2 linked regions of the Oryzias latipes genome follow. The protein of the gene in region 2 purifies or fractionates together with the protein of the main gene of each other region. This does not show direct contact. Links are inferred from orthologs where the notes say so. Each region holds a gene or a part of one and is shown on either strand. Other genes may lie near its edges.

The links.
Region 1: the proteins of abce1 (region 2) and oraov1 purify together in Homo sapiens (affinity purification with mass spectrometry; 4 studies listed by BioGRID and IntAct, with this or other methods). This does not show direct contact. The link is inferred for Oryzias latipes from reciprocal best matches to the Homo sapiens genes ABCE1 and LTO1.

The regions. Positions count from the first base shown.
Region 1 is NC_019861.2:4,835,163-4,839,438, reverse strand, and holds the start of oraov1 (oral cancer-overexpressed protein 1), read right to left. Parts: upstream 2,936-4,276; 5' UTR 2,855-2,935; coding exon 2,727-2,854; intron 2,152-2,726; coding exon 2,046-2,151; intron 1,961-2,045; coding exon 1,890-1,960; intron 143-1,889; coding exon 22-142; intron 1-21. UniProt on the Homo sapiens protein: The complex LTO1:YAE1 functions as a target specific adapter that probably recruits apo-ABCE1 to the cytosolic iron-sulfur protein assembly (CIA) complex machinery. May be required for biogenesis of the large ribosomal subunit and initiation of translation.
Region 2 is NC_019876.2:3,198,216-3,202,353, reverse strand, and holds the end of abce1 (ATP-binding cassette sub-family E member 1), read right to left. Parts: coding exon 4,096-4,138; intron 4,019-4,095; coding exon 3,922-4,018; intron 3,850-3,921; coding exon 3,760-3,849; intron 3,691-3,759; coding exon 3,569-3,690; intron 3,485-3,568; coding exon 3,360-3,484; intron 3,006-3,359; coding exon 2,909-3,005; intron 2,310-2,908; coding exon 2,250-2,309; intron 2,170-2,249; coding exon 2,111-2,169; intron 2,041-2,110; coding exon 1,930-2,040; intron 1,855-1,929; coding exon 1,712-1,854; intron 1,241-1,711; coding exon 1,118-1,240; intron 1,046-1,117; coding exon 934-1,045; intron 867-933; coding exon 819-866; 3' UTR 584-818; downstream 1-583. UniProt on the Homo sapiens protein: Nucleoside-triphosphatase (NTPase) involved in ribosome recycling by mediating ribosome disassembly. Able to hydrolyze ATP, GTP, UTP and CTP. Splits ribosomes into free 60S subunits and tRNA- and mRNA-bound 40S subunits.

The sequences.
Region 1 (4,276 bases), on a different chromosome or scaffold from region 2:
ACTCAGGATGAAATGGGATACCTGTCTGAACTTTGCTCGAAGTTTCTCCGTCTCATCTTGCAGTTTTTCAGACTGTGGATCATCCAGGTTACAGTTCTGGATCAAAGCCAGCACGGCGTCCAAGGCCTTCACGCGCTTTCTGCTGACACAACACATTGAGCTGGAACGGGCCTCAACTCAAACTCCACACAATCCTTCAATGCTGGGAAATGTCCGGGATGCTGCCTGACGCAGAGCGGCGACCACAGCACCAATGTTCAGAATCCAGGGATTCCCGACCTACATGGAAAACTGCACATGTTCCAACCAACAGTTTTTGTTGTCCGTTTAATTCCTTAGAAGGTTGGTGTGTATTTTTACCAAAGGTTTCAAATCTGCAAGTTTAGCAGAGTCCTACAAAACCACAGAGACTGAAGGTGGATAACTTGTTCTGGATCCAGATCCAGAACCAGCAGAACTAAAATTGCGTAGTAGCCGTAAATGCCATCAGACCACTCTCGGCCTCAGCATTTCCTTACAAAAAGGTTTATGAAGTCATTGCATCTACACTGAGCCAGAACACAAGAGATCCTTCCATCTTCCTCCGCTCATCCGGGACGGGTGGCCCTTCTCCACCTCCCTGTAGCCTCACCCTTTGTCCTCTAGAATGCAACAAGACAGCAGAAGAAGCTCATGTGGAAATAAGAACTACAGTCAGAATAACCCCAAAAACAAGTGCTCTCCCACTCAATTAATGAAGAGGTTTCCTGCGCCCCCTTGTGGACAGCAATGGATTGGTCACAGATAAAAGGTTCTAGTGGAGAAAATAAAACCCGTTTGGACAAACAGAATATCACTTCAAACAGCTAGAACAAGAACCATAAGAGTTACGAAAGAGGAAATCCTTATCTGAGTTTGCTGAACCCAGAAACTCACTGCAAGTTCAGAAAAAACTCACCAAGTACAAGGGACTAAAAAACAAATAATTCTTTTATTCACACAACCCTTCCGGTGGGCGTGTTTTGTAGTAAAATCCACCTTTTTCTACTTAACAGAAGACTGGAGGCAAAAACAAAGCCTGACTATGGCGATCCTCTCTCCACTAGAATGAGCAGCTTCTTCACCATTTGCTTCGACTCTTCACCTGGACCCAACAGGAATCAGAACAGCACCAACCAACCGCATGCAGACTCACGTTACGGAAAATGTACGAGCGCGACATGAAAAAACAAACAAACCAAAGAACTCCCTGATTATCAACAGTCTGTGTGCTGCAGGAAACACTGTTCACTCGGGGGGAGGACGAGGAAAACACAATATCCGTCATGGACACGAGGGTCCAACGCAAAGAGGACGGCAGCACAACGACAACAGCACTTTGAAAACCCACACACACATACCAGCACCTGCAATGACACAACACCCCCTCTACTGTAGGGAGCAGGAGCGGGACACTCTACAGGCGTTCACAGGGTGTGTAACGCACAGAACCTAATGGGTCATTTTCATGCCCCATCATGCACCCTCATCCCTTTTATGGCCTGGCCTCCTGGTGAATGGCACAGAAGGCTGTCTTGCCTGTGGATGTGTAGCTTCTGACTCAGATGGAGGCTTCTTTAAAGGCTTGCAGCTGTTTTGAGTTGATTAAGGTGTGATTTCATGACTTTCCTACTTTAAATTCTTTAAAAAAAAATGATTCTTAGTTTTGAGGCTCTGTAGATATTTTAGAATAAAGGGTTGGTTTTAATTTACTTTTTTTGTCTGTTTGGTTTAACTGTAAAGCTATGAGTTGTTCAAAGCGTGAAAAGAGCCTTTTGATGAATAACGCTTGATTTGGATTCACATGAACGCTCAACACGACTGTGACTCATAAACGTCTTGTAGTTCCTGAAACACCCCGAGCAACGTACCTTGACTTGTCATCTGTGCTTTGCTGGAGGAGACACTTCCATGTGACGGCAAAACCGTAATAGAAGGAGATCTGTGGCATGAGACGATCCAATCAGGACGTGGTGCAGCTGAGTAAGGCTGGACAGACGGTCACGGGGACCGAAAACTGGACTCACCTCAGAGGACAGCTTGGCTCCATGGGAGGCTCCGTGTCGGCGGCCGTCCTGCAGACCACGGCGAGTCCCCTTCTCAAAACCCTCCTGGTAACCTTCACCTCGAAACCTGGAGAACAGTCAGCAGAAAACCCTACATTACTCCCATGACATCCTGGGATTTGAACCACAGCTTTCCAAAAAAATAAATGAACCACAAAAGAAAAACAATAATAAATGCTGTTCTTTTATTGACTGGAGTTTTCTGCAGGAAATTTAAAATAAAAGGAGGAGAGGAGGGACAGAAAGCAAATTAAAAATAACAGCGTTAATGAAGACGGTCATGATCCCCGTGCAGCGGAACCCACATCCGGTGTTAGACCGGAACCCGGTGAGGGGACTTCACCAGATGTTGTCCAGAAACGCACTGATGGGGAGCATCCTAATTCTTTTACTACCAAAATGTGGCGTTTACCCGGTAACCACACGGTTAACTTAAGCGCATGCGCAAAGCACACCCGATCGTGAAAAGTTTTACCGGTCGAAAAACAAACACATTCTGACGATTTTTAGAAATGCTTTTTGTTTCTATTCAACATCTTACGACAGAAAAAAAGGCAAAAACGGTTTAAATAGAAAACATCGTGAAAATAACATAAAAGAGAACAGAAAATGTAACAATAAAGGTATAAATGTTACACTGACGACGTTTCTAAGCCGTCAAGCGCGTGCCCCACCAATAAAACAACGTTTATACAGAAAACTTGCTTTTCATCGGCTAAAATGATGCTGTCAAACAGATCATCCGCTGGGTGGACGCCAGGCATCTCCATTCTGCAGCCAACTAAAGAGCTGACGGCAGGAGATCCTCGCAGCTGCTCTTCTTCTATGTCAACACAGTGTGTTCACTATGGACGTACAGAGCAGCACTGCCCCCTACCGGACAGCGGGACTCACTGCATGCAAACACACGAACAGTGTTTGGAGTCAATCTGTAATACAAGTTTGCCCGTTAGAGACCATTGTAAAATGTCTCAATTAAGATAGAATAGAACAGAATATACCCCACAAAGGAGAAATGATCTAGCTCTAATTAAAAGAACGCAGATAAATAATAACACTGAAACATGATACTAAAACAATAAAAACAATAATTATGTCCAGTGCCCAGTGGCGCCTCCAGAAAGTTTTCATGGGGGTGGCCGGTAGGGGGCCACATTAAATCTTGGGTGGCACACAAAAACCATGAGCTGCATTTTTAAAATTCATTCTACTAAACGTAGTAAAACAACCCTTAGAAAACCAACAGAAAGTTAAATGCCTACTGATTTTTTTCTAGAACATTGACTTATAGTTGATACTACTATAGATTCTAGTAGATGTCATTAGGCCAGTGTTTTTCAACCTTTTTTGAGCCACGGCAGACTTTAACCTTGACAAAAATCCTGCGGCACACCAGCAAAAAAAATTTTTCAATTTAAAAAAAAAAAGGAGAAACTCATAGTCTATATTGATCTAAAGTCCTTCTGCAATCTCACATGCATTTTGTGACAATTGTGGCAGAAAAATCTGATGAAATAAAAGTTAAGTTAAAAGATTCAAAAACTGTTTGATGTGTGTTCGTTGTTGTTACAAGACGTTTAGAGGAGAGACTCACTTTGCGCTGAGACGCTGTCACTTTAACCCAATGCATCATGGGAGATGTAAACAGCCGCCAAGCGCAGAAAGACTAGCGTCTCTGAGCTTCCTTCTTTTCTTCACTTGTTCCACGGTCTGATACCAGATTCAGTGGAAAGATACACCGCTAAAGACAAGCTTTAGCTGGTATTTTTGTTGGAACCGAGCGACTTTATGAGCAGAATCAGAACAAGGAATTGAAGACTTTAACGACTTCTGATTGGTCAGACTGATGACATGTGATTAAGCCTCCAAGAATGATTGGTGGAGACAGTTAAAGGGGCGGGACTTTACAGAAAACAGTTAATACTGCAGATAAGAAGTATTTTACGATCTTTCATATTCCTAACTACTCAGTGTTTTATCAGGGCCTGATTGGATGAACACAGAGCTGATATCCTGGAGATGGAAAATGTTTTTAGATCAGTTACCGTAATGACAGTAATTTCCCACGGCACACTGGTGCGCTGCGGCACACTGGTTGAAAAACACTGCATTAATTCTAACTTCACCAGTTGGTCCAGGAACAGGTGGAAGACTTTTTGCTGAGTTCTGCCTTGTTTCTCTGACCAATCATG
Region 2 (4,138 bases):
TGGTAGGCCAGTGTCCTACATGTATTCCAACCAACCTGCCATTGAAGCGCCTCATTGGCTAAACACACCTGGTCCAGGTAATCAGCAGCAAGTAAGGCAGGGTTGCTGGAAAACCAGCAGGCCACTGGCCCTCGAGGCCTGGATTTGGGGACCCTTGGTCTAGATGACCCTACTACCAATCTTAAAGTGCCTAGGATAGCACAAGGGTTAACCCCCCCCCCCTTCCCATTCTGTCTTGATTGACAGTTGACCAATCAATCATCAGTTCCAGGAAAGGGGTGTGTACAAATCGCTCTGCCTCCAGATCATTGACTGTATTGGAGAACAGGATGAGCGAGACGTCGAAAACGGTTTCCTTATGGCTCCGACCAAACGAAGTCCATTCAGTTGCCATTTTATCGATTTGGATGCCGCCAGACAACATCAGAGTTGGTCAACGTTTCTATGGCAACCACTCTCACCAATCACTAGTGAACTCATTGGAAGGCCACACCCCTACCACTTGATAAGTCAGGAAACTGTGGTTTCTGGTGATTTTTGTTTTGCTTTTGTCTAAATGTTTGTGCAGAGAAGAGGCCAAAGGTCGGGAAGCATCCATTTATTATCGATGTAAATGTGTGGATGATCCTTGATGGGGCCGCCTCCCGGACGGACGCCCCCCCCCCCGTGGACAGGATGTGATAATGCACTTCTTCATGTTACACGTCACAACAATGCTGGCTATGAACGGCCCGGAACACGAAAGGCTGATGGGTTTCTGTTCCGGCGCGGCGCCGGACGTTCAGGAGCAGTCGCGGTTGGTCACATGGGACGGGGTCTTAGTCGTCCAGGAAGAAATAGTTCCCGCTCTTTTTCTGTTCCGTGTCCTAGATGAAACAAAAGACATTTAGCATCGTGTGGAGAAACGAACCGTGGATCCCGCCGGGCGCCAACCTTGATGGAGTTGAGCTTGTTGATGCGCGGCCTAAAGTTGTTGGGGTCCCTCCTGAAGGTGATCTCCAGCAGCGACAGGAAGCGGTTCATCCCCGCCAGCAGACCCTGAGGCCTGACGGAGAAAAGACACGGCCGTTAGACGGCGACCATCCGGACGTTAGCGCGCCGCGCGGACGATCCTCACGTGTTAGCCAGCGTCTCCCTGGAGGGAATGCCGTCGAACACGATGACTCTGTCGGCGAGGTACGTCGCCATGATGAAGTCGTGCTCCACCACAAACGCCGTCTTCTTGGCGTGGAGGATGTACCTGCCGACAAACGTCAGATCAGAAACGGCGCCCCACACAGGCCGGGCTGCGCAACTGCAGGTTCTTAAAAACTTTGAAGCTTCGTTCTAACAACAGGGACACCTGGTGGCCAACTGAAGCCGTAGCTCGACTGAAGCAGTACAGAAAACACAAAAGACGACAAATGATGCCGTTTTTCTGGACATTTTTAAAGAAATTAAAATTTAAACAAAAGTAAAAGAATTCTGATTGGAAAGAAAACAAGTAGAATTTACAACAACCTTAAAAGCAACTTTAGATGAAATACGGCCCTCACATTGACAACTGAAGTTATAATTTAAGGCGACACCAGTTTGACATTTTAGAGATTTAAAATTATATTTTTTTGTTTTTCTTCAGTATAATTTGGTGTTTTTCCAGTAAATTACAACCGAAAACACTGAAAACTCTGACATCCTTTCATTTCCTCGGTCTATAGAAGAGAAGCTCCACCTCTTGATGACTCTGGCCGCCATCAACCTCTGCTCGGAGTCCAGGTACGCCGACGGCTCGTCGACCAGGTAAACATCGGCCGGCTTCCCCAGACAGAGCGTGAGGGCGACTCGCTGCAGCTCACCGCCGGAGAGGTTCTGCACCTGCAGGGGGGGAGGGGTTTCCCGTTTAGAAGCGCCTCAGAGCAGCGGTGCGGCGTCGGCATCAGAGCGCCTTACGTCCTGGTCGATGATGCTCTCGATCTGCATGGGCTTCATCACGTCGGTGATGAACTGCGGGTGCGTGTACGCGTCCCGGATCTTCTCGTGTAGCAGCGCCCGGACGCTGCCCTGTGGACAAACACACCGGCGTCGGCACCTCTGAGACGACCACGCAAGTAACCGACTGAGCGGCTCTCACCTTGAACTTGGGGCTGATGGTCTGAGGCTTGTAGCTCACGTTCAGGATGGGAACCTCGCCTAGGAGACAGAGCGCAGGTCAGAGCGCGCCTGCGCGGCTTAGAGCCTGTCTGCGCGGCTCAGTCTGTGAGCACACTCACCTCCACTGTCGGGTTTGAGTCCGCCGGCCAACATCCGGATGAAGGTGGTCTTCCCCGTTCCTGCAAACATCATGTAAGATCCAGAGGACCAATAGGAACAGAACCAGAACCGCGGCAGCCTCAGAGACTCCCCCCACAGTGCGTTTGGCTACATTTTCTGTGTCTGTGGTTCAGTGGGTTAAACACCGTCTATGTTGGTCTAAAGTTTGAGTCCCAAACTGGTCACTCAGGAAGATGCTCCTCATGTTACTTTGTAAGCATTAGGTAACCATCCCATTAGTTTACTTGTAAAAGAATCCTGCTTTTAGAAGGTATTGTGTTTTAGAGTGAATTTAGACGCCATTTTACTCCTGTGAGTTCTCCATGACTCCGCCTATTCCATAAATCAGCATGTTTTGCTTCATTTATCTGGTCTTTGAGGAGTCGTCTGCGTGTTAAACAGCCGCTGAACGGCCCTCAATGAGGATGAACCCTGAACTCCAAAGCCGCTGACGCGCCGACTTCTATTTATGTAAACAAAATGCTTTTTAAAGTGACGATAGCTCCGCCTCCAAACTTCATGCACTCAGAAACGAGTTGCTGCTTCAGAAGCTGAGTGGTTGGAGTCAGAAAGTTGTGGTTCTTGGCTCAGAAGCTGCCGAAAAAACCGGGCGGCTCACCATTCTCTCCCAGCATCACCATGATCTCGGAGTCCGTGAACTCTCCCCCTTTGATGGCCAGCGTGAACTCGCCCATCGTCTTCACCATGTCTGGATACTGAACGCCAGAACAGAGGCAGAAAATTAATGAAATGTCATGTTCACATTCAGCACAGAGTTAGAGGTTTGGGGGCTTATCCGGGATATCAACGACAGTTTTTGGGGGCTTGTCCGGGATATCAGCAACAGTTTTTAGGGGCTTGTCCGGGATAATAACAACAATTTTTGGGGGGCTTGTCCGGGATATCAAGAACAGTTTTGGGGGGCTTGTCCGGGATATCAACAACAGTTTTTAGGGGCTTGTCCGGGATATCAGCAACAGTTTTTGGGGGGGCTTGTCCGGGATAATAACAATTTTTGGGAGGCTTGTCCGGGATATCAACAACAAAAGAAAAATTCAAATCTCACATACCTGGTAGTGTCTGAGTCTTTTCACTTCCTCTTCATTGGCCGTTTCTGCCACCTTAAAGACCAATGAGGTTTCCCGAAACCTGAGGTTCTCTGTGGGAACGTAGCCGTCCAGGAAGATGTTGATACCTGCAAGAGAAGCGGAGTGAATGAGCGAATCGGACACTTTGCAGCCGTGGCTTTCACTCCTCCGCTGTCTGAGTTAAGCTTGACCTTCTCGGACGCTGAAGGGCATGGTCACGACCCCGTAGGCGCTGGGGACTCCGTACAGACAGCAGATGAAGTCGGACAGGTAGTCCAACACGCTCAGGTCGTGCTCCACCACAATGATGTACCTGAGATGGAACAGGACGTTGAAGAACAAGAAAAGGATCCAGGAGAAAAGGCGGCGGCTGGTTCCTCACCTGTCTGGGGTGATGAGGGAGCGGATGGTGATGGCAGCCTTCAGCCTCTGCTTCACATCCAGGTAACTGGACGGCTCATCAAACATGAAACTGCGGCAGAAGAGCGGAGGCCGTGAGATCAAAGCAAAGAGCGGGAAAATGAGGATGAAACCAGGAACTCACATGTCGGCCCTCTGGATGCAGACGACGGCGCAGGCAAACCTCTGCAGCTCTCCTCCGGACAGGTCCTCCACGTTCCTCTCCCGCAGGTGACTCAGATCTGCAGCAGCAACAGACTTACAACGTCAACCGACGAAGAACCGCCAGACGCTCCCCAGAACAGGCGTTCATCGTTACCCAGCTGTTGGCAGACGATGTCTTGTGTGTTTGTGTCGTCCTT